Linked DNA regions of Arabidopsis thaliana. The protein of the gene in region 1 interacts with the protein of each later gene in a pairwise test. Each region holds a gene or a part of one and is shown in the gene's direction. Other genes may lie near its edges.

Region 1 (6,505 bases):
CTAACAGATCCCAAATGAAACGAAATGAAGATGGAAGGAAGAGAGATGATACCATTGTCGTCGTCCAAAGCTCCAACTCCAAATGGTTTCTGCGAAAGGACGGCTGAGTCGAAGAGTATCGTTTTCTAGGGTTTTGCCTTTTATATATATACCATGTACATTGATAGGGCTTCTCTATTTTCTCTAATTAAAATAATAATTAAAAATTGCCAGCAAACCGTAATTACAAATATACCCTTATTAATCTTTCAATGTGTTACGGTCTTTTTAAACCGGTGGTTAACATGGCGGAAAAAATGAGAAAAAACCGGTTTAACATTTTCCACCAGTGATGAACTTTCTCAAAAGAGTTTATTATATACGAACCTAGCTACTAGCCAAAGTCTTACTTTTCTCAAAACCAAACGTTAATGAAACTACCATTTGATGTATACATATGGGTAGAAAACAAGCCACCGACACCTTTGTCACTCATTGGGTGAGCTCTTCCTAAAGAAGATGGTCTTTTCCAAATTCCAATTCAGCAGCATGTGTAGTAGTAGTTTCGTGGATCTGTATGTATTCTCGACCGCGGTTACAACTAACGATTTATAACTAAGGCGTTTTAGTTTTACGAATAGTATTTCGACCTCGTGTTATCGTTCCCATATGGGAGATTTATATCTTTCTCTATGAGATGTTTGTGAGACTGTATGATTTTGTACATTTGAGTTTTTGGAATTGTTTTCGTCAATTTAACAAAAATAATTGGTGACAACAAAAAAACTATCAGTCTTAGTAATATGTGACGTATTTCTTATCAAATTTAGATTGACCATGTAAAGAGTTTAGCAATTAAATCCAATTACATTGCTTGTGTACTTATTCATGTTGTAATAAATTGTAGATTTACAACTATGACAATCCTATATAACAGAACAAAAACAAATACGTATTTGAACTTTCTAGTTTACACTTTACACGAATTACACGTGATAAATAACAGGTAGATTTATGTCAATGTCATACATAGCCTAAATCAACTAAAAAGTAAACAATATAGTTCAAATGTATATATATACTAGATAAGGTCCGCCTATTTAGGCGGGTGTACCCGAAATTTTCAAATACTCGAACGGATATAAACTTTAAAACCCGAAAAACTCAAACCCAAACCCGAATAGGTATGCAAACATATCTCAAATATAAGTATATATTAGTTATATTTATACTTATATATAGAAAATATTAGAATTTTTTTGGATATTTTAGTTATTTTTGTGTATTTTTAGATATATTCAAGCAAAACTACTCATGTTGTTTTGGGAATTTTTGAAAATTTCAAGTAATTTAATAGATTTGCACACAAAATTTGATATTTCAATATATAAATAACTCGAACCCGAACCCGAACCCAAACCGAACCCGACCCGATAATATTTTTTTGTTTAAAAATACATACAACCAAAATCTTATTTCTACCCAATTTCTTTAAGTAATAATTATATTAATAAAACCTACAGTCTAATTTCTACAGCAATAAAACTTACAGCTACAGTCATCACACCTACAACAAAAATTCTACAGCAGTAAATCTACAGTTACAGACAAACCAATCACCCACGTAATCTCGTAAGTTAATTTTACATCATGCAAATTAATATTAAATGAGTTAAAATTAATAAATGAAAATAATTGAAAAGTTAAATCCTATAAGCTAAGCTATTTTTCTCAAAGTGTTCTATTTTCACTTATGATTACATGAGTTAAAGACAAATTTGTTAATTTTGCTTTTGTTGAATAAATGTTAATTGTTTATAAATATATAGACATATAAATTAGTATATGTAAATTTGTTTACTTTTTAAGATTTTCTATTTTTTTAAAGAATAAAAAAGTTAAATTTTGAATGACACATGTAAACATCTAATCGTTTGACTTGACACTGTGCCAAGTCAATTTTGAAAACCATACTTTATATAATAAGATATATATATATATATATATTTTTTGTCCTCATAGTTCAATTGTATATATCTCAATAATTTTTTTAATCAGAAAAAAACAAAATACATATATATCCACTAATTCTGATTTGATAATGCGTTCACACTTCATATTTATCATGTTTATCTTTTATAAAGAAAATAAATTAGTCAGGTCAGGTTTTTAGTAAGATATATGTTTATGATAATATCTAAACTCGAGGAGATGATAAAACTAATATTACTCAGGTTGAAATTAAAATCTAATGCTTATAAGGATGAAATGAAACAAAATTCAGGGAGTAAAAAGATATAAAAAAAACTTGCAATTGAGGTCTCATATTCTTAAACCTTACCAAAGAAAGGCGAGATTAATTAATCCTAGTTAGTCAAGTAAATCATCCAATTAGATAAGATCACGTGTCGGTCGATGTACGCTTGAATCCTCGTTTCGATACAATAATTGAAGTGTGTCATGCAGAGATTAGAGAGATGTGTATAAATGGCTCCCAAGTCTCCACCGCAATATCCAACGCTTGACCGATTCCAATCAGCTCCTCTCGATTTCCGTTTGTCGGAAAATCTCTCCCGTGATCGGCGTATTGTGAATGCCGCTCACCGAGATATTCTCCGGTACGTCCGCATTGATCAATTTCGTCGCGTGGCTCACTCTGTTTCATCTGTTCTTTTCTTATTTTTTAGCTATTTTTGTTGAGATTTGTTCGTTGAAAATTATGGTTTTGTGAAAAGAACCCAACTTGTTTTACTGAACCCATGATGAAAGTTATAATCTTTTGATCTGGTTACCTCTGGATTTTGATTACGCATACAGTGGAACATGCAATTGTTATTAGCATTGGTTATAGATTGGATTTCGGTTACATGCCATTGGATCCTTTGCAATGTTTAGTTTGTGTTACAGATTCTCTGGAAAGAAATCTTTTTGCATGTTCCGTTTGTTTCGCATCCTCTTGATACTGTTCGATCGATCAGGCTACAGGTTTCATCAGTTTCTTCTAAAAGTTGTAAGCTTCTTTTTGGTGTGCCAGATTCTTTTCCCCAGTGAGGACAAGTGTTCAGTTGACTTATTAGGAGGTGGGGTTTGAATAAGTTACAATGGCCTCAATTCTTAATCAAACCCAGGAGTTGCAAGAATCTTCTAAGGTTCTTGGGCATTTAAGATGTGAAAACTTCTTTCTATTCCCCGGAGAAAACACTTTGTCAGATGGTTTGAGGGGTGTGTTATATTTTCTCGGTCTTGCCTACTGCTTTATTGGGTTGTCAGCCATCACTGCACGGTTCTTCAAGTCTATGGAGAATGTCGTGAAACATTCCCGTAAAGTGGTTACAATTGATCCCATTACTAAAGCTGAAGTCATCACATACAAGAAAGTTTGGAACTTTACTATTGCAGACATCAGTTTGTTGGCGTTTGGAACTAGCTTCCCTCAGATTTCTTTGGCTACCATCGATGCAATACGGAATATGGGGGAGCGGTATGCTGGAGGTCTGGTGGTTGTTCCTTTCTTCCTTCCAAAACTCTAGTTTTTACTTTTAAGTTCATGAATTCTTATATCATGTTTTGTCATATAGGTCTTGGTCCTGGAACACTTGTTGGCTCAGCTGCATTTGATCTTTTCCCCATCCACGCTGTTTGTGTCGTTGTGCCAAAAGCTGGAGAACTGAAAAAGATATCCGACTTAGGTGTTTGGCTAGTTGAGCTCGTATGGTCTTTTTGGGCTTACATCTGGCTATACATAATCCTCGAGGTAACTGTGAAAAGCGGTTTAAACAGATTCTGTTGAGTCTATACTCTATACTGATAAGGTCTAAAAATCTGTTTCTTTTCACGTCTCACAGGTGTGGTCACCAAACGTAATTACACTTGTGGAGGCATTATTGACAGTACTGCAATACGGATTGCTTCTAGTTCATGCGTACGCCCAAGACAAGCGATGGCCTTACTTGTCTTTACCAATGTGGGTTTCTTTTCCAGACAATAATATTAGTTCCTTCAAAATGGATTTCTACTAAAGATTGTATCTTTGTGTTTGTATTTGATACTTGCAGGTCAAGAGGTGATAGGCCAGAGGAGTGGGTTCCAGAGGAGATTGATACATCCAAAGATGACAATGACAATGATGTTCATGATGTGTATTCGGATGCTGCTCAAGATGCTGTTGAATCGGGAAGCAGAAACATTGTTGATATCTTCTCTATTCATTCAGCTAACAATGATACAGGTACTAAGTATGATTAGGCTGTCTATTCTATTGATATAAGATCAGTTTTAGCGTATTTGCTTATTTCCAAATCTATGTGATTCCCATATTTATCTCTGGTAGTATATTGTTATAAATCAAACTTTCCCTGTAACAAACACTTTTGCAGGGATCACTTATCATACTGTGGCAGATACTCCACCCGATTCTGCGACTAAGAAGGGTAAGGCGAAGAATTCTACTGTTTTTGACATTTGGAAACATCAATTCGTGGATGCAATAACGGTAAAAATCTTCAACTTACCAAGTGTTTTCTAGATTCTTCTATATCCTATTTTGGGCTTTTGATCATTATCAACACATCTTTCTTAACTTGTTTCTCTTCCTATTCGTAATCAAACAGTTGGAAACATCAGAATCAAAGAAAGTGGATAGCATTTATCTTCGAATCGCGAAATCTTTCTGGCATTTACTCCTCGCCCCTTGGAAACTGCTTTTTGCATTTGTGCCCCCCTGCAACATTGCTCACGGTTGGATCGCTTTCATCTGCTCTCTCCTCTTCATCAGTGGAGTAGCCTTTGTTGTCACAAGATTTACTGACCTTATAAGCTGTGTCACTGGTACACACCCTCACCGCTTTCAAAAACTGAAGTTATAAGATTAAACATTTGAGCTCTAAAACATTAGAAACTCTTTTCATCTTGCAGGAATAAACCCATATGTGATAGCATTCACAGCACTCGCAAGTGGAACTTCATGGCCAGACTTAGTAGCAAGTAAAATCGCTGCAGAGCGACAACTAACCGCAGATTCAGCTATTGCAAACATCACCTGCAGGTAAAAATCTCAAAACCCTTTACAAACATTGAAGATCTTTTCATGATCTTTTTGGTGATAAATTATGCAGTAACTCGGTGAACATCTATGTGGGGATTGGAGTTCCGTGGCTGATAAACACAGTCTACAACTACTTTGCATACAGAGAGCCTTTATACATAGAAAACGCTAAAGGATTAAGCTTTTCGCTTCTGATATTCTTTGCGACATCAGTGGGATGTATCGTGGTGCTTGTGTTGAGAAGGTTGATTATAGGAGCTGAGCTTGGAGGTCCAAGGCTATGGGCTTGGCTTACTTCTGCCTATTTCATGATGCTTTGGGTCGTCTTCGTTGTTCTTTCTTCTTTGAAAGTTTCAGGCGTCATATAGAAGAAGCAACAAAAGGAAAAACCCCATGAGTAGAAGAAAAAGTCTTAGCTTACTTGCACATGTCTCAGTTTTTGTTTTTCTTACTTGTTAAGGGGGTTTTATATAATTATCAAAGTTCAAAGGCAGTTGGCTAAATATGTGTTGCAAATATAAATCATATTGACTATGATTTTGGAGGCTTCATCTCTAGTTAGGAGGTGCATATATGGAGTACATTTTCATTATCCTGCAGTTTTTTTTGTTTTTTTATTTGCAGTGTTACCAATTTGTGGTACATATATGCAAACTTTCTCTAAAGTCAAGCAAATAATCTTAGTCGATTAATATAAACTTTTATATGTAACTTTCATCCAAGTAACTAGTGTTTAGTACGGTTCTTTAATAAGTGTTGTAGAATTTCTAATGCCCATTTACCACGAAGTGCATATTCTAGTTGCTGCTTGCTTCTGATATTAGTGACATCTTAATATTCCTGAATTTAATATTCATAGACACAACTACTTCGGTTATTTTCTAAGATACATTCTCAAGTCTTAACCACAAAGGAGAGCGTCTCAAATTGTAGAGACTTTTTATGGAATGAGTATCCGAAATGTTTAGAACAGGGAACGGACAACTTGATTGAGCCAAAAAAAGAAGCTTAGATTTTATTCTCCTGACACTCAAGTTTCAAAAGAGAGCAGTAAAGTCCTGTCCGGATAGCAAATTAATCCACCATACACCAGAGTAGGGCAAAGAAACAGGTCGCTTCTAACTTTTCCGGTCACCTGAAAGTTTTCAAATGTTTAAGCAAAGGCACCGGTACAGGCTGTAGCCGGACCAGCCTCGACCTGCGTCTTCGCTGAGCTGTATTTCTTGGTTATAAACCTGTTCCAAGTTTAAACACACATCAAAGAGAGAATCAGACAAAATACAAATTCTACATTTCTACTAGGGGGCAAGTTAAGAAAGTAAGAGCTCACCTGAAGAAATCCCTCCATAGCAACTCATACATTAACCAGTTGAGTCCTGTATCTCCCGGTCCGTTCCTGAGAAAATCATTTCAAAGAATGATAATTAGACACATACACTTACTATGTTCACCAGAGTTTCCTGAAGTGTTTTGCGTTTCTGA
Region 2 (6,171 bases), on another chromosome or scaffold:
ATTTCATCACGAAATATCACAATAATTGTAAGAGATTCTACTAAGCTGCACGTCAATTGTCAAATGCCTATCAACAGGATGCTAATAACAATGATCACCAACCTAATGTTGCCTAAATTTGTATAACGGATTTAGAATCAGAACTTGCAAATCACGACCCGTAATCAAAAGGATATGATAGTCTTGACTGGATTATACTTGTAATGAACAGGTGAAGCTGGACAAGCTAAATGGTAAATCTGATCGACCTCAAGGAGGATTGGCTCAACAACATCGTGTCGAATTAGCTCAAACCTAGGATTCGAGAATAGATGAACCAAATTCTCCTTCCTACCAGTGAAGAAGTTATCAATCACGATCACTTCATCTCCCCTACCGATAAGCTTATCAACAAGATGACTACCGACGAAACCAGCTCCACCGGTGACAACAATCCTCAGTCTCTTCCGTCCGATACCGACGGGAACACGACCGGTTCTACCTCCGCCGCCTCCGGAATTAAAAGTCGACCTGGAAGGCGGGGAATCGGTGACGGCGTAGGAAACAGATCTGGTGATTAACGAGGTGGACTCAGCGGCGCCTAAACGAGAGAGAGAAGGCTGGAGGATGAAGAAAGTGGATCCGATCAAGATCCCGACGAGGATAAAGAGGAGTCGTTGTTCACGAAAGAGATAGTGAAGCGATCTGGGAAGAGATCTGGGATGCTTTAAAGTTTTGGGAGAGTAAGGACTGGATTGGCTCATGGGAATGGTTTCTTCATCACGCTTCGAGCTCATTTGCTTGTGAAGCTGCTTCATCGTTCTCCGATTAAAGCTCGTCGCCGGTGAAAATGAGATCTCAGAATTGCCGGGAAGAAGAAGAGCTTTGGATCTGGATAGATTCAAACGTAAGAGCGATGGTGAATGCAAAAGTAGTTAGTTACACGGCGATTACTTGATGCAATCCTTCGCTCTCTTTTTTATTTTTATTTTGTTTTAGTTATAGAGCAAATATATATGTTTCGCTTCTAAAATCTATATGTGATTATCAGATAATCTAATTAAGTAATTTCACTAATTGTTTAATAATATATGCAATTTTTTATATATATATTCTTGAGGGGATCATTAATGTGATTTGCGTTTGATTTGTATATTATTCAATGAACATATACAAAACTTTAGGCAAATGTGGAAACAAACAAAAAAAACTCCTCGAGGCTTACAAAATATGGGCTTTTAACAATTGGATGCCCAAGTTTGGCCCCTTAATAGCCCACAAAATGTTATGCCTAGAGATATGCTCTTATGCTATTTTTTTTTTTTTTGAATGAAAACTCTCTCATGCTGTTACTCAACAGACGAGAGTAAAAATTTCTCGTACGATTTAACAAATATTAGCATTGAACGAAATCTCAAACCTGAGGGATTCAATTCCTTGATCTAGTCCTACCTGATAAATCTCAAAGTGTTAACAAAATTATGTTGGGAAACTTAGCAAAATATCCTCTACCAAACACAAAATTTCAAAACAATCTTTACATAAAGAAAGTCTTACTAAACTTAACCAGAATAATATAAACTCATTCTCTGTGTGAAAGTGTACATTCCATAAGAAATGTTATGTATTTCATTGGATAAATCATTAGTTCAACTTGATAGAGACAAGCTGATGATACTAAGTATATAGTTTTCTATTATTTCTTGACAACTCTTGTAAAAATGGGTTATCAAAAGTAAAATAATCAAGAAAACAGATATAACAGCTACACCAAACTTCCATATGCCTAAATCTAACTCATCACGTTATATAAAGTTTCCATTACATATTCCTAATGACAATTTTTGTTGTGTTTTCGTGTGTAGCTCTACAACATCAAAGCCGAACATCTGCACGTTTTTCTGCCATAATTTTCACATTCATTTCCTTTTTGTTTCACCAACTACAAAAGTACAAATCAATGATCCTTATAATTTTTTTTTTTTTTTTTTGAAATGAAATAGGCTTCACTTACGCTTTTTTATATGACGAAAATGGTGTGCATGATTAAACAAACAATTGAAAGATAACACGCCATTAGCTTCATTATGCATAATGGCATGCCTTTGTACAATCTTAGTATAGTACCATGCCAAATCCTAATTATGAGAATATCTTATGTGTTTGATATTAACTAATTGCAAAAGTTAATTAGTAACCGCTAAATAAATGTTCAAAATGTTGGATGATTTGATTTTGATACAACAAACAGTATATTCGTAGCGTGCTTTAGTTACTGTACGAAGATATTCACTGATTCAAAATAGTTGGAAATCCAATTAACCCCTAGTCAATTATTGTCTCACGCACCAAAAAACAAGTCTTAGAGCTTGTAAGTGATTATAGAAAACTCGCGGGTCGTGACTATAATAAACAAAAGGAGATTAAGAAATTCGTGACATACATACATGTGCAAGGAGAAATTCTATTCCTGACATGTTACATAAGCTATACTTATTGCAATTCCATAAACTCCGGATACATTATATACAGATGAAATAAACACGTAATTCCATGGAGTAAACTTTTCCACTTTGTAAACAAAAACCACCTAAAATAGGATTTTTTTACAGAGTACCTTAAGCCCCAAGAAAAAATACATACAATAACGGAAAAATGTGGATGGATTTGCCCAACTCCTCACCTACTCGTAACTTACAATTTATATACATACGAAAATATAAACAAAAGCTATGTACATGTAAATATGAAAAGCTACAAAACCCAGAACAACTCAAAGTTAGATACTTAGAGATCACCAAACTAATTGACAAGTTTCTCCCTCATTCTCCCATCCAAATATCCTATAAAGTCGATCAAAATTGTTCTGTGGGTAAGACCTTTAGACACATTACCTGAGGCCAAAACATTAACCAGACAATAATTCACGTGATGTCTGGTTTGTTCGGTATATTATCTCCGGCCAAACGGGTCAATGGCGATGGCCTCCCTCTGTTTTACAATATCCACAAGTCAGTGGAGCTTCAGAGATGTCACAGAGACACTGCGCGGGTGTCTGTCACACTTGCAGAACTTCTCATGAGTGTGGAAGATGAGGGGGATGACCAGAGTCGGGCTATGGATATTGCGGTTGCGTCCAATTTCTGGTCCTCGGTTCCGTCTTCTCGTGTGCCTTCTTCTTCTCCGTTTGTTCTTTCCTTCAAAGACTTGACTTACAGCGTGAAGATCAAGAAGAAGTTTAAGCCCTTTCCTTGTTGTGGGAATTCACCTTTTGATGGTAATGATATGGAGATGAATACTAAGGTGCTCCTGAATGGTATTTCTGGTGAAGCCCGGGAAGGAGAGATGATGGCTGTTCTTGGAGCGAGCGGGTCAGGGAAATCAACGCTTATCGATGCATTAGCCAATCGGATTTCAAAAGAGAGCCTACGCGGTGATATTACTTTAAATGGGGAAGTTCTTGAATCTAGCCTGCATAAAGTCATATCAGCTTATGTGATGCAAGATGATCTTCTCTTCCCGATGCTCACCGTGGAAGAGACGTTGATGTTTTCTGCTGAGTTCAGGCTTCCAAGCTCGCTTTCTAAGAAGAAAAAGAAGGCACGGGTTCAAGCTCTGATTGATCAGCTCGGCCTGAGGAACGCAGCAAAAACCGTGATCGGTGATGAGGGACACAGAGGTGTGTCTGGAGGAGAAAGGAGAAGGGTCTCAATTGGAACCGATATAATCCATGACCCGATTATTCTCTTTCTCGATGAGCCAACTTCTGGTCTTGACTCTACCAGTGCATACATGGTTGTCAAAGTGCTTCAGAGAATCGCACAAAGCGGCAGCATAGTTATCATGTCCATCCATCAGCCGAGTTACAGAATCTTGGGATTACTCGATAAGTTAATCTTCCTATCTAGGGGAAACACCGTTTACAGCGGCTCCCCGACACACCTCCCTCAGTTCTTCTCAGAATTCGGTCACCCAATTCCTGAAAACGAGAACAAGCCGGAGTTTGCACTCGATCTTATCCGTGAGCTGGAAGATTCGCCAGAAGGAACGAAATCCTTAGTCGAGTTCCACAAGCAATGGCGAGCAAAGCAAACCTCAAGCCAGAGCAGAAGAAACACCAATGTATCTCTCAAAGATGCAATCAGCGCAAGTATCTCGAGAGGTAAGCTTGTCTCCGGAGCAACAAACCTAAGATCATCATTTCAAACCTTTGCAAACCCATTCTGGACTGAAATGCTCGTAATTGGTAAACGATCTATACTAAACTCAAGAAGACAACCAGAGCTATTCGGAATCCGCCTAGGAGCTGTACTAGTCACCGGAATGATCCTAGCCACAATATTCTGGAAACTAGACAATTCACCAAGAGGTATACAAGAACGCTTAGGGTTCTTCGCATTCGCAATGTCCACAACATTCTACACATGTGCAGAAGCAATACCAGTCTTTCTACAGGAACGTTACATATTCATGAGAGAAACAGCTTACAACGCTTACCGGCGATCATCATACGTCCTCGCTCACACAATAATCTCCATCCCTGCTCTCATAATCTTATCCGCCGCATTCGCCGCCTCAACATTCTCGGCCGTAGGACTCGCCGGAGGCTCCGAGGGATTCCTCTTCTTCTTCTTCACAATCCTCACCGCGTTTTGGGCCGGAAGTTCCTTCGTGACGTTCTTATCCGGCGTAGTCTCACACGTGATGATCGGATTCACGGTGGTTGTAGCAATCCTCGCTTATTTCCTCCTCTTCTCCGGATTCTTCATCTCTAGAGATCGAATCCCACTCTACTGGATCTGGTTCCATTACCTCTCCCTAGTGAAATACCCTTACGAAGGTGTTCTACAGAACGAATTCGAAGATCCGACGAAATGCTTCGTCAGAGGGATCCAGATGTTCGACAATTCGCCGCTGGGACAAGTTCCAACCGCCGTGAAAATCAGCCTCCTGAAGAGCATGAGCGGCGTTTTGGGGATCAACGTGACGGCGGAGACTTGCGTAACGACGGGAATCGATATACTGAAACAGCAAGGAATCACGGAGATAAGCAAATGGAATTGCTTGTGGATCACTGTAGCTTGGGGATTCTTCTTTAGGGTTCTCTTCTACTTCACACTCTTGATCGGAAGCAAGAACAAGCGTCGCTGATTTACAAAACAGAAAATTATTAGAGTAACTTGACCAATGATTATGATGTACTTAATACTTATGATTAATACGAAATTGCATATGTTTGCTAAATCTTTAATGGGCTTTAGAGTTGATATAAGGCCCAATAAAAGTACTAAATTGGAAAGTGTGCAATTTTCTATTTTCTATATCGGTAATATCGACGTTTATCTCGCCGTGAAATCTAAACCGTTGATTGAAACAAATCGCTACCGTTGAATCTCGTCGGTTTCCAAGTTATAAGATAGGGGTTGAAGACTAATCGCAGTATCATCCGCGGTTCACTTCCTTCGTTTCGAAATTATTAGGGTTACTGCGTATTTGCACTCTCCTTCTTCGTCTCTCCAGGTACGAGGAAGAATCTTTGTAATTGGATCTGTTTAGGGTTACGATTTTATTGTTCTTCGCTCTCTAGATTAGGGATTTCAATTGGTTTCTCGTTTCCTCGCCGTAGATTTCCTTTATAGGTTTCCTTCTGTCTAATCTGATTAGAGATTTATATTCTCCCCTCACGAAATTTTCTTCTTTTCGCCTCTGAATGTGTTATTCAGTTTGGTTTCTTTGTTTTTGGATTTGTGTTCTGCTGAAAAATCATAGATATTCACATGGGTTCTATGTTTAGGTCTGAGGTAGTGTTTTAACTCTCTGGTCTTTTTCTTGTTTATATAATTTGAAGAGGATACTGTTATTCTTTTTCTTGTGATTGGCATATATATATATATATATACATATGTGCCTAATAGCTTATGTTAAAAATATTTTGCAGCTTGACAATGCCTCGCTATGATGATCGCTATGGAAACACTCGCCTCTATGTTGGTCGCTTATCATCTAGAACTCGTACCAGAGACCTTGAGCGTCTCTTTAGCAGATACGGAAGGTAAAGAGTCATATTCCTTTGTCTTGACTGACCTAATTTGACTTTTGTATTCTTGGGGAGATAAGTGTTTGGATTTTTTGTTAATTGTTCTTTGGTGTGAATCTGGAATGATTCCTCTTTGATGTTGTGCAGGGGATATA
Region 3 (6,646 bases), on another chromosome or scaffold:
TCTTAAAGATACCTGTTCACAATGAATTTTCTTCAAAATCTGCCGCCGGTAGGCATAGATAGGCAGTCCATCCTCTAGCCTTCGACACTCTCTAAGAATCAAATAATGAATACGTCTCCAATCATAGGCCCCTTCCAAAGAAAACACGGCCACGTCTTCGTCATCTTCATCATCTACATCAAACTCATACCCGTCTTGTCCTATGAGATATCGCAAAATGCTCTTCATGGCATTATTGAATTCGTCAAGCCGATTCACAACCAAATCTCTCTCCGCTTCAAGAGCCTTCTTTTTCTCAAAAACCTCAAATTTCAGACCCCTTTTAGACGAAAAGGACGCAACTTGACGAGACTTGTCATCAATCTCCATTCTCACCTTCTTGACCCCTTGTCCATTTTCCATAAGCGAAAGAACATGAGACGAGAAAAGATCACGAAGCCTGTCTTTAAGCTCGTCCATGTCAGACGGAACAACAACATTAGGAATCAGCTCAGGAACAAAATCATGTCTCCCTTGAAGACGATAATCCCAAAGAGCCACAACGGCAGAACGCGCATCGACCCACTGACGAAAACTGAAGCTTGCAGCGATACAACCAAATTGAGGCACGTGAACTGATTCCTCCGGAATTTCGCAAAGCAAAGCGATACTCTCGATCTCTTGCTTCTTAGACAGCTTTGTGTCACTGTTAGCGGCGGCGGGGTGAAGCAGCTGAACGATGAAATTAGGCCTAGCCCGCGTGACTGGAGGAGAGAATCCCGACGACGGAGCACGATCACGTCTGTAATTTGGCGGGAAATTAGTGTTATGGTACTGAGAGTGTTGCTGGTTCCAAGTAGTACAGTGGTTGAGCGGCGGAGAAGATTGTGCAGAGCGAGAGTTATAACGGTTCGTTGAGGATGAGGGAAACGACTGCTGACGACGATCAGTCGTCGATCTCCCACCGTCTGAAGGAGGAAAAGAGTTCCTCATGATGAGATGATGCCAGTTTTTTTTCTTGTTAAGAATGAGAGAGCGAAAGAGAAAGAGTCAGAAGTTGAAAAGAGTCACAGAAGAGTCAGAGAGTTATATCAATCAATATTAAAACCCTATTAAAATTTATTTAACTTTTCGTCTACTCTTTCCTTTTTCTTTAACCTAATTTAATTTTCTTCTAATCAATATTAAAACCCATTTTGTTACTATCAATTCTTTAATTATTGGTTCGACCTATAGAAACATCCAGAAATCCAAATTTGAGGATAAAAGTGTTAAAGTAACATTTCTTAGTATTTCAATTTTATGTTTTTACCACATTTTAAAATTTAAGTTAGAAATAGTGTATCTACCAATGATATTGCCATATACGTATTAAAATGTACATATCATCAAAAGTAAATATGAAATCTTAAAGGTATTAAATAGTTAACTCATATTCTTGTAAAGTTTAATATTTGTATACCATTTAGATTTTATTCAAAGCATTGAATTTTATTAATAATTAGTTAGTAGTTTCAAAAACTATTTTAAAATCCCTACAAAAAAAAAACTATTTTCAAATCCCTACAAAAAAAAATACTATTTCAAAATAAAAGAAAATAGAAAATATTGAAAGCAGAAAATATAGAAAGGTGTTAACAAAATTATATAAAAGAAAAAACAAACAGAAAGTGTTACATGTTTTATATAAAAAACAATTTGGTTAAAAATTTCAATAACCTCATATCATTTTTTCTCATCTGCTTAATTAATGATATTCAAATGAGTTATTTTCAAAAAATATTGCTTATATAAGTGATGATATGATGCGGTTCGCTACAAATTTTTCGTGCCAATAAAAATTTCATATATTTTTCTACATTTTTTGTCAACATCATATATTATTATTTCCTAATTTTATTAGAACTCTCGTCTTTAAAAAGTTTTAAAAGCGTCATTTATCGTTCTTTTATCTACAAAAAAAAACAAGATTTCATGAGTCAGACAAGACAAAAGCCATAAACAACACAAAAGTCCTGCAAGATTGCTCACTTGGGCGGTTGGGCCTATATGAAAATTTACTATCTCAAAATTTAACTAAGAGCCCATAAAAACTGTAAGATCTTTGCTTTAAATCACATTGTCTTCATAGATTTTGTGATTCATGGTAGATTTGTGAAGATCTTTGGTCATCTTTTTGTTTACATTTGGCTTATTGAGTGTAGAGTGTGAACAATCTGCTATGAAGTTGGTAAAATTCTTTGGATCCAAACCTTTAAATCGTAGCATATTTACTATTTCACACTGCTAGGATCTGTTTATAGCTGATGCATTACTGGAATCTATGATGTTTACTGTGTTGGTCTGATATATAACAAGTTCTGAATTTTAAAATCAAATTCAATATCGAATTGGGCTTTTAATTAAGGTTAGGCCCATCAAATGTTTTTGACTCTTTAATAATTCCCTCTCTTTTGTCTTTTATTGTAAAATGCACACAATTTCGAAGAAACTGCCAATGGAGTCTCCATTTTCCAGCGCCATGCCAAGCTTGACTCTACGATGATAGCTTATTTGACTGCTTCAAAAAAAAACTTCAGAGAATTAATTTCGAGAATTTTCCCAATTTCAGATCATCGGAAAATTCTTACTATAATCTTTCTTATATCGCTTCTCTCAGTTACTTCAACGTTCTGGTCAGTTTCGGATATAAATGTTTTAATTTCTTAGTTTCCGTTTCTTCTTCTTCTTCTTTTTTTTTTTTTTCTGTTACTGTAAACTTGGGGATAACGAATTAAAGCGATCAAATCGATGTTCTTATGATTCAGGATCCGTTATAGCAAAAAAAGCTTGACTCATGGCTTTTGGCCGCAACAATCGTGTAAGGTTGTTGTTTGCTTGCTTTCTTTAATCTCTGTCTTTTTTTTTTTTTAGAATGAATTTACTGAGAAACTATGGATATGAATGATTCTCAGAAAAAATATTCTTTTTTGTTGATGATTTTTTGTTTAGGTTCAGAGATTGGATTTCAGAGGGAACAGAGTATGGTTACGGAAGAAATAAAGCTAGACCATCTCTAAACACAGTTTTGAAGAATGTTCGTAGAGGACTTAAGAAACCTTTAAGTTTTGGTTCACATAATAAGAAGAGAGATTCTAATTCTAGTACCACTACACAGAAGAATATTATAAACCCACAAGGATCTTTTTTACAGAACTGGAACAAAATCTTTCTTTTTGCTTCAGTGATTGCTTTGGCTATTGATCCATTGTTTTTCTATATTCCTATTGTTGATGGAGAAAGACACTGTCTTAATTTGCATCGTAACTTGGAGATAGCAGCTAGTGTGCTTCGCACGTTTATAGATGCTTTCTACATCATTCACATTGTGTTTCAGTTTAGAACTGCTTATATCTCTCCTTCTTCTCGTGTTTTCGGAAGAGGCGAGTTGGTTGATGATCCTAAAGCTATAGCCATCAAGTACCTCTCCTCCTACTTCATCATCGATCTTCTTTCTATCCTTCCACTCCCACAGGTAACCTTTAGTTCCTAATGGTTTTATAGTTCCTTCTTGATGGTTCTTTAATATTCTGTTGTATCTGCTGCAGCTTGTAGTCTTAGCTGTCATCCCCAATGTCAACAAGCCGGTCTCTTTGATCACTAAGGACTATTTGATAACTGTCATATTTACTCAATACATTCCAAGGATTCTTCGTATCTATCCACTTTACACTGAAGTTACAAGAACATCTGGCATAGTTACTGAAACCGCTTGGGCTGGAGCTGCTTGGAACCTATCTCTCTATATGTTAGCCAGTCATGTGTTTGGAGCCTTATGGTACTTAATATCAGTAGAACGAGAAGACAGATGCTGGCGTGAAGCTTGTGAGAAGATACCAGAAGTGTGTAACTTTAGATTTCTCTACTGCGATGGAAACAGTAGTGTTAGAAACGATTTCCTGACTACCTCGTGCCCGTTTATCAACCCTGATGATATAACAAATTCAACTGTCTTCAACTTTGGTATCTTTACTGATGCTTTAAAGAGTGGGATTGTTGAATCAGATGATTTCTGGAAGAAGTTCTTCTACTGCTTCTGGTGGGGTTTGCGTAATTTAAGGTTTGTAACACTCTCTCTATCTAGTTATTAGTAATTTAGGATTCATGTGACACACTTGATGGCTGGCTAAGATATGTTGAGCATGAAACACTAATCTGATCACTTGCTGTTTCTCACTCGCTGCAGTGCATTGGGACAAAATCTCAATACAAGCAAATTCGTTGGGGAAATCATATTTGCTGTATCAATTTGTATATCTGGACTAGTCTTATTCGCACTACTTATCGGCAATATGCAGGTATATATTCATTTCACTGCCTTTTTTCCATCACTTACTTGATCCCCAAGGAAGATAAAACACTACTGATGTTTCCACTTTCCATAACAGAAATACTTGGAATCAACTACAGTGAGGGAAGAGGAGATGAGAGTGAGAAAAAGAGATGCAGAGCAATGGATGTCTCATCGAATGTTACCCGATGACTTGAGGAAACGTATCAGAAGGTATGAGCAGTACAAATGGCAGGAAACTAGAGGAGTAGAAGAAGAAAACCTTCTGCGTAATCTCCCTAAAGACCTCAGGAGAGACATCAAACGCCATTTCTGCCTCGATCTTCTCAAGAAAGTAAGTGCTTCTAGTTCCACCTTATCTCTTTGATCCTCAAATTTGACATTTCATTCAAATAATCATTGATCGAATCAAATATATATAGGTACCTCTGTTCGAGATAATGGATGAGCAATTGCTAGATGCCGTGTGTGACAAGCTAAAACCAGTGCTCTACACCGAGAACAGCTATGCAATTCGAGAAGGAGATCCAGTGGAAGAGATGTTGTTTGTCATGAGAGGAAAACTGATGAGCGCCACCACAAACGGTGGCCGGACCGGCTTCTTTAACGCCGTATACCTAAAACCTAGTGACTTTTGCGGCGAAGATCTTCTCACATGGGCATTAGATCCTCAATCTTCGTCTCATTTTCCGATATCGACTAGAACAGTTCAAGCTTTAACCGAAGTAGAAGCCTTTGCTCTTGCAGCAGATGATCTCAAGCTTGTTGCTTCACAGTTCAGACGACTACATAGCAAACAGCTTCAACATACTTTCAGGTTTGTTTGGTCTCTTTTGACTGATCTCTCTGCTTCTCCAATCTCCGGTTCTGTTTGGTTTAATTCGGTTTAACTGTCAGGTTTTATTCGGTTCAATGGAGAACTTGGGGTGCGTCTTTCATACAAGCGGCGTGGCGGAGACATTGCCGGAGGAAACTAGCTAGATCATTAACCGAAGAAGAAGATCGATTCCGAAACGCGATCACAAAACGCGAACGCAATGCGGCGTCTTCGTCTAGCCTGGTTGCAACGTTATACGCGTCGCGGTTTGCTTCAAACGCGCTTCGCAATCTGCGTACAAACAACCTACCTTTGCTACCTCCTAAACCCTCCGAGCCTGATTTCAGTCTCCGAAACCCTTAAAATATCTCTTACACATGTCCACTTACCACTTGTATATAATATTGTGTCAACGACATTAAAGCTTAAACTAATTACAAAAATTTAGTGACCCTATTTTATAGGCACGATGCTCCAATGGTCACTTTTAAAATAGAGTTTCCTCAAAAATAGGAAAAAAATAGAGACTAAATGTAGAGATCTTTATTTATAGAGATGATATCTCCTCTATTTTAAAGAAAATTCTATTTTACATGTGACCATTGGAGCAGCCTCTAAAATAGAGTCATATCTATAAATAAAGGAAAATATAGAGATCACTATTGAAGATACCTTTATAAAAATAAAACATGGTTATATATATGAATTTGATAACTTTAGGTAACCTTAATTTTTTTTTTAGTTTTAAAAGCTTTGGAGTAAATATAACAAATTTATTTAAAAATTGTTTTTTCATGTGTGTGTTTTGACCAAAAAAAAACAAATAACATGTTTAACCAATAACATACAATTTATCATGTTATTTTATCTAAGAGTAATTTTTCCATATATATATATTTATTATAAGATTCAATTGTAGATAATTTTTACTTAATAATACATCATTTACCATATCATATATAGATATTAGTTTGGTCAAATTGTACAAAAAAAATCGATTTCTCCTGACCGACATAGATTCAGACAATATAAAGCCCAGTCATAAACCCAAAAGTGTGGATAAGATAATAATCTTAGCCCAACAAGCAGCGAGAGAGAGAGAGACTTATTATTAGGGCTCCGTCAAATTTCCCCAATTTCTCTCTGATTCCTCTCTAGAAATCGAACTTCTTCTTCTTCGTCCAAGCTTTTGAATCGAAAATCGATGGCGGATCAGAGTTCTAAGCCGTTGCAGTTTTTCGTGAGACTACTCGACGGAAAATCATTAACCCTAAGTTTCTCCTCTCCGTTAGCTTATGGCGAGCAGATCAAGCAGCGGATCTTCGAGCAAACGAAGATCCCGACGCATCTACAGAGATTGATAAGCGGAGGATACCAAATCTCCGATGGATCCGCGATTTCTCAGCCTGACGCCACCGTGAATCTTGTCCTTTCACTCCGTGGAGGTAAAGGAGGATTCGGATCGTTACTTCGTGGTGGGGGTATGAAAGCTGGGCAGAAGAAGACGAACAACTTCGATG
Region 4 (3,974 bases), on another chromosome or scaffold:
TTAATGTGGCTTTGGTATTGGCATGCAGATTCGATGTTTGGAGAGCAGATGAAATTGCAGCCTATGTATCCGGAGACAAAAGAGAATTGGAGGAAAGAAATGGGTTGGTTATTATCTGTGATTGATCACATTGTCCAGTTTGTTCCTTCTAGACAAATGGGTAAAAATGGCCAATTCACTGAGGTGAATGCATGCAACTGTTAGTCATTAATTACGTACATATATAACAACTACTAGTCTACTAGTGACGATTTTTCTTATTAACCCTAATTTTCTCCTTTGTAGATCATGGTTACAAAACAAAGAGATGATTTGCTGACGAACATTCCAGCTTTACGCAAACTTGACTCGGTTCTTCTCGTGAGTTTAATTACTACTTGATTGTTTCAACCGCGGTTTCAACGTTTGGGAAAAATTAAACCATTATATTATATCAAACACCACATCGTTTCAAAAATATTTTGTTTGCAACAATATCCATGACACTAGGACAAACTACTATATATACTACAAGTCATAGTCATCTTTGCAAATTATAAAGATAAATATAACTGAAAACGTCATAACACCAAGAGTACCATCTCATTAATTAATTTCATATAGGAGTGCATGTATTATAAAATGATCATGATATATATATATAACAAACAAAAATAGATGAGTTGTGACCATTTATCATACTAATGCAATTACTCATTTGGCAGGAAACTTTGGACAACTTCAAGGATCAGAAAGACTTTTGGTATGTGCCAAGAGATATGGAGGATGCAGATCACAATGGAGATTGGAGGAGGGATGAGAACTGGTGGTTACCAGTTGTTAAGGTTCCAACAGATGGCTTGTCTGAGGAATCACGTAGATGGTTGCAGAATCAGAAAGATTCTGTGGCTCAAGTCCTTAAAGCCGCCACGGCCATCAATGCTCATGTATTGTCTGAAATGCACGTTCCTGAAAACTACATTGATTCCCTTCCAAAGGTTACTTACTTCTTCTTCAAAAGTGTTCTGTTTCTTTACAATTTCCACTAAGCTAGGAAGCTGATGAGGCTGTTGGTTATGTAGAATGGGAAGACAAGCTTGGGAGATTTTCTTTACAAGAGCATAACAGAGGAGAGCTTTGATCCTGACTACTTTGTCTCTTTCTTGGATTTGTCAACGGAACACAAAGTACTTGATCTAAAGAACAGGATTGAAGCTTCCATGGTGATCTGGAAGAGGAAGATGTGCCAGAAAGAGAAAGACGGGAAATCTCAGTGGGGATCCACTGTTAGCTTAGAGAAGAGGGAGCTTTTCGAAGTCCGAGCTGAGACCATTTTGGTTATGCTCAAACAACAATTTCCTGGGATCCCACAATCCTCCCTTGAAGTCTCCAAGATTAAAAACAACAAGGTAACATAACATAACAAAGACTAAACAAACATCAACAAAAATGTAGTGAGACTGAGTAAGAGTTTGTTGTGATTTGATCTTACAGGATGTTGGACAGGCGATTTTGGAGAGCTATTCAAGGGTACTAGAGAGTCTTGCTTCAAAGATAATGTCAAGAATAGAGGATGTTCTTGAAGCCGATCGGCTAGTTCAAAGACAGTTGATGGGAGAGGCAGAGACAAGATCAGAAAGCGAGGCAGAATCAGAATACGAGGAAACTGAAAAGGTGGTTGCAGCGGAAACACCAAACTCGAGGAAACTATCAGACTTCATAGGGTGGAGATTGTCATCTGATACTAAGAAGCATAGTTCAATGAGTGATATAGAATTCTTCCACAAAGTTGAGCAGGAGAAGGAGAAGCCCATGATGAAGTCTCCAAGAGCTCTACCGAAGAAATTTTCATATCTAGCAAAGTTAGAGAACATGAGAAGCCCTAGTGACAGACACTGATAGTGAAAAGAGAAGGTAATAGAACAGGGCATAGAAGAAGAAAAACACAAAGAGAGTGAGAGAGAGAGAATAGAAGAAGGTTAAAGTGTGTGAGAATGTACATATATAACAATGCAGGCATTGGTTTTAGGATTTGGACATGAGACTTGGTGTTTGATCATGATTGTTGCTTGTTTTGACTATTGCTTCCTGTTGTTTTTTCTAAGAAGGAAGTGTGATTCAGTGTGTAACAATATTTTGGTATTTTTGTTCTTTGGTGTTTTGTATTGTAACGTCTAATCTACAACATTGTTTCCTAATGGATTTTGAAGCTCATTGATAATGACTAGTAGTGTAGTAGTATTGTAATGAAACATTATTTGATGACGACATGTAATTTAGTGGTTTGTGATAATACCATTGATCTGTGTTTACCATCCGGACTATTCAGGTATTCGGGTCCGTTATTTGGATTTTTAAATTTTTCGGATCGGGTTTAGTTCGGTACCTTTCGGGTTCGGGTCGGTTCTGGATATCCAAATAATTCTTCTTTTTGATCTCCTTTACTCAACATTTAGTGGTTAAAACACAGAACAACGGAAAAGGCAAATCGGGATCAGCCACCGGCGATGAAGGAAGACATGGATAAGATGGTGGCGGTAGGGCTCGTATGGGGAGCCACCAATGCTCTGATCCGTCGTGGCGCTCTTGCCTGGGATAAAACAAAGTCTTCTTCGACAACAGAATCTCATTCTCCTCCTCTTCAGATCCGCCGCAAAATCATGATTGCTCTCCGCGACTGGATCAATCTCCTCCTCTTCTGGCAATACTCAATTCCTTTCCTCATAAACCTCTCCGCCTCCGCCACATTCTTCGCCCTTCTCAGTCACGCTCCCATCTCTCTTGCCGTTCCGGTGACTAACGCCACAACCTTTGCCGCAACCGCCGCTTTTGGGATCCTTTTAGGGGAAGAAACTCAAATCGGACTTGCTTTGTTAGGTACGAGCTTTATTGTATTTGGAATTTGGCTTTGTGTTCTGTGAAATTCGAATTTTGTAAAACCGTGACTCTGTTTCTGTGAGATCTATTTTGCGAAAGAACTATTTGTGTACCATCTTTTGAGAATTTTAGCTAACTCTCTGCAATATTATCGAAGGTAATTAACATTACTAGTCAATGAAACAAACAGTGACTTGCAATGAACGCATCGAATGATTTATACGCAAAACCGAACTAGTGAAGAAAGAATAGAGCCAAAAGTAATAATAAAAGAATTTCTCCAATACAAAATTTAGTCATAAAAACTCACCGAAAAGGTTTACATGAACGGAAAAGTTTATAGAAGTGAAAGAAAACACAAGTAATTTGGATCCATTAATGGTGGCATAAACAATATATATAGAAGGAAAAAAAAACTGATATTATGTGATTGTTTTATATTAAGATGTTACGGTCATAAGACAAAATGGGTAAAAATTATCGTCATTAGACGACCTGAATCCATTCTCCAGTGCTGGGAACACCTTTGTAGATGGCAAAGATAAGATAGTAACCCGGTGGAGCGATGTTTCCATTTGGTGGTGCAACGGCCTGGATATCGTAACCGGCACCAGCAGGTTTGACATTATTGACACCCAAGATGAGCATCCTCATGTTCATTGAGATACTGTGTGTTGTGAAGGCAGGGGCTAACATGGTAACCTTGAGATTTCCCTTGGTTGCTCCCTTTTCTTTAAGGTCGACCTTCACGTTGAAGAATTGTCCGTATTTGACCTGTTTTGGGGTGCCGGTGGTGACGATCTTTGGCCTTATGTTGGCTAGAGCCGGGTCGAGGTAAGGTGGGGAGAATTTCTCAACGCGAAGCTCCGTTGGGAACTCAACGTTGTACTTGTAACCGTCGTTGGTGTTGCTGCCACCGACAAGAACCTTACCGTCTGGAAGAATGATGGCGCTGGAGTGGTACATACGTGGGATGGTGGTGGGCTTGAGCTGTCTGAAACGCTTGCCACGTGCAGCATGGGGCTTGTACAAGAGGGGAGCAAAGGCAGGGTCTTTACCATATCCCCAGCCTGAACAACCACGTTTAGCTCCGTTGACTAGAAGGATGTCTCCGTTAG

What was found.
Region 2: the proteins of MHX (region 1) and ABCG20 interact in a protein complementation assay, tested with the Arabidopsis thaliana proteins (one large-scale study listed by BioGRID).
Region 3: the proteins of MHX (region 1) and CNGC13 interact in a protein complementation assay, tested with the Arabidopsis thaliana proteins (one large-scale study listed by BioGRID).
Region 4: the proteins of MHX (region 1) and AT5G19570 interact in a protein complementation assay, tested with the Arabidopsis thaliana proteins (one large-scale study listed by BioGRID).

Annotation. Positions count from the first base shown.
Region 1 is NC_003071.7:19,523,404-19,529,908, reverse strand, and holds MHX (magnesium/proton exchanger), read left to right. Parts: upstream 1-2,328; 5' UTR 2,329-2,597; intron 2,598-3,013; 5' UTR 3,014-3,080; coding exon 3,081-3,471; intron 3,472-3,557; coding exon 3,558-3,733; intron 3,734-3,824; coding exon 3,825-3,943; intron 3,944-4,034; coding exon 4,035-4,207; intron 4,208-4,355; coding exon 4,356-4,471; intron 4,472-4,589; coding exon 4,590-4,806; intron 4,807-4,893; coding exon 4,894-5,023; intron 5,024-5,093; coding exon 5,094-5,391; 3' UTR 5,392-5,792; downstream 5,793-6,505. Other genes in the region: AT2G47610 (Ribosomal protein L7Ae/L30e/S12e/Gadd45 family protein), read right to left, coding at 53-55; PHR2 (photolyase/blue-light receptor 2), read right to left, coding at 6,177-6,258, 6,354-6,419.
Region 2 is NC_003074.8:19,836,261-19,842,431, reverse strand, and holds ABCG20 (ABC-2 type transporter family protein), read left to right. Parts: upstream 1-2,448; 5' UTR 2,449-2,910; coding exon 2,911-5,130; 3' UTR 5,131-5,284; downstream 5,285-6,171. Other genes in the region: UXS1 (UDP-glucuronic acid decarboxylase 1), read right to left, coding at 189-797; RS2Z32 (RNA-binding (RRM/RBD/RNP motifs) family protein with retrovirus zinc finger-like domain-containing protein), read left to right, coding at 5,925-6,031.
Region 3 is NC_003075.7:433,412-440,057, reverse strand, and holds CNGC13 (cyclic nucleotide-gated channel 13), read left to right. Parts: upstream 1-2,466; 5' UTR 2,467-2,654; exon of another isoform or gene 2,655-2,786; 5' UTR 2,787-2,815; coding exon 2,816-2,844; intron 2,845-2,970; coding exon 2,971-3,493; intron 3,494-3,566; coding exon 3,567-4,078; intron 4,079-4,204; coding exon 4,205-4,316; intron 4,317-4,406; coding exon 4,407-4,643; intron 4,644-4,731; coding exon 4,732-5,126; intron 5,127-5,206; coding exon 5,207-5,489; 3' UTR 5,490-5,841; downstream 5,842-6,646. Other genes in the region: AT4G01020 (helicase domain-containing protein / IBR domain-containing protein / zinc finger protein-like protein), read right to left, coding at 13-972; AT4G01000 (Ubiquitin-like superfamily protein), read left to right, coding at 6,331-6,646. UniProt on the Arabidopsis thaliana protein: Putative cyclic nucleotide-gated ion channel.
Region 4 is NC_003076.8:6,604,253-6,608,226, forward strand, and holds AT5G19570 (uncharacterized protein), read left to right. Parts: upstream 1-2,311; 5' UTR 2,312-2,486; coding exon 2,487-2,900; 3' UTR 2,901-3,069; downstream 3,070-3,974. Other genes in the region: ROPGEF10 (ROP uanine nucleotide exchange factor 10), read left to right, coding at 29-183, 286-360, 705-977, 1,062-1,388, 1,474-1,878; AT5G19580 (glyoxal oxidase-related protein), read right to left, coding at 3,343-3,974.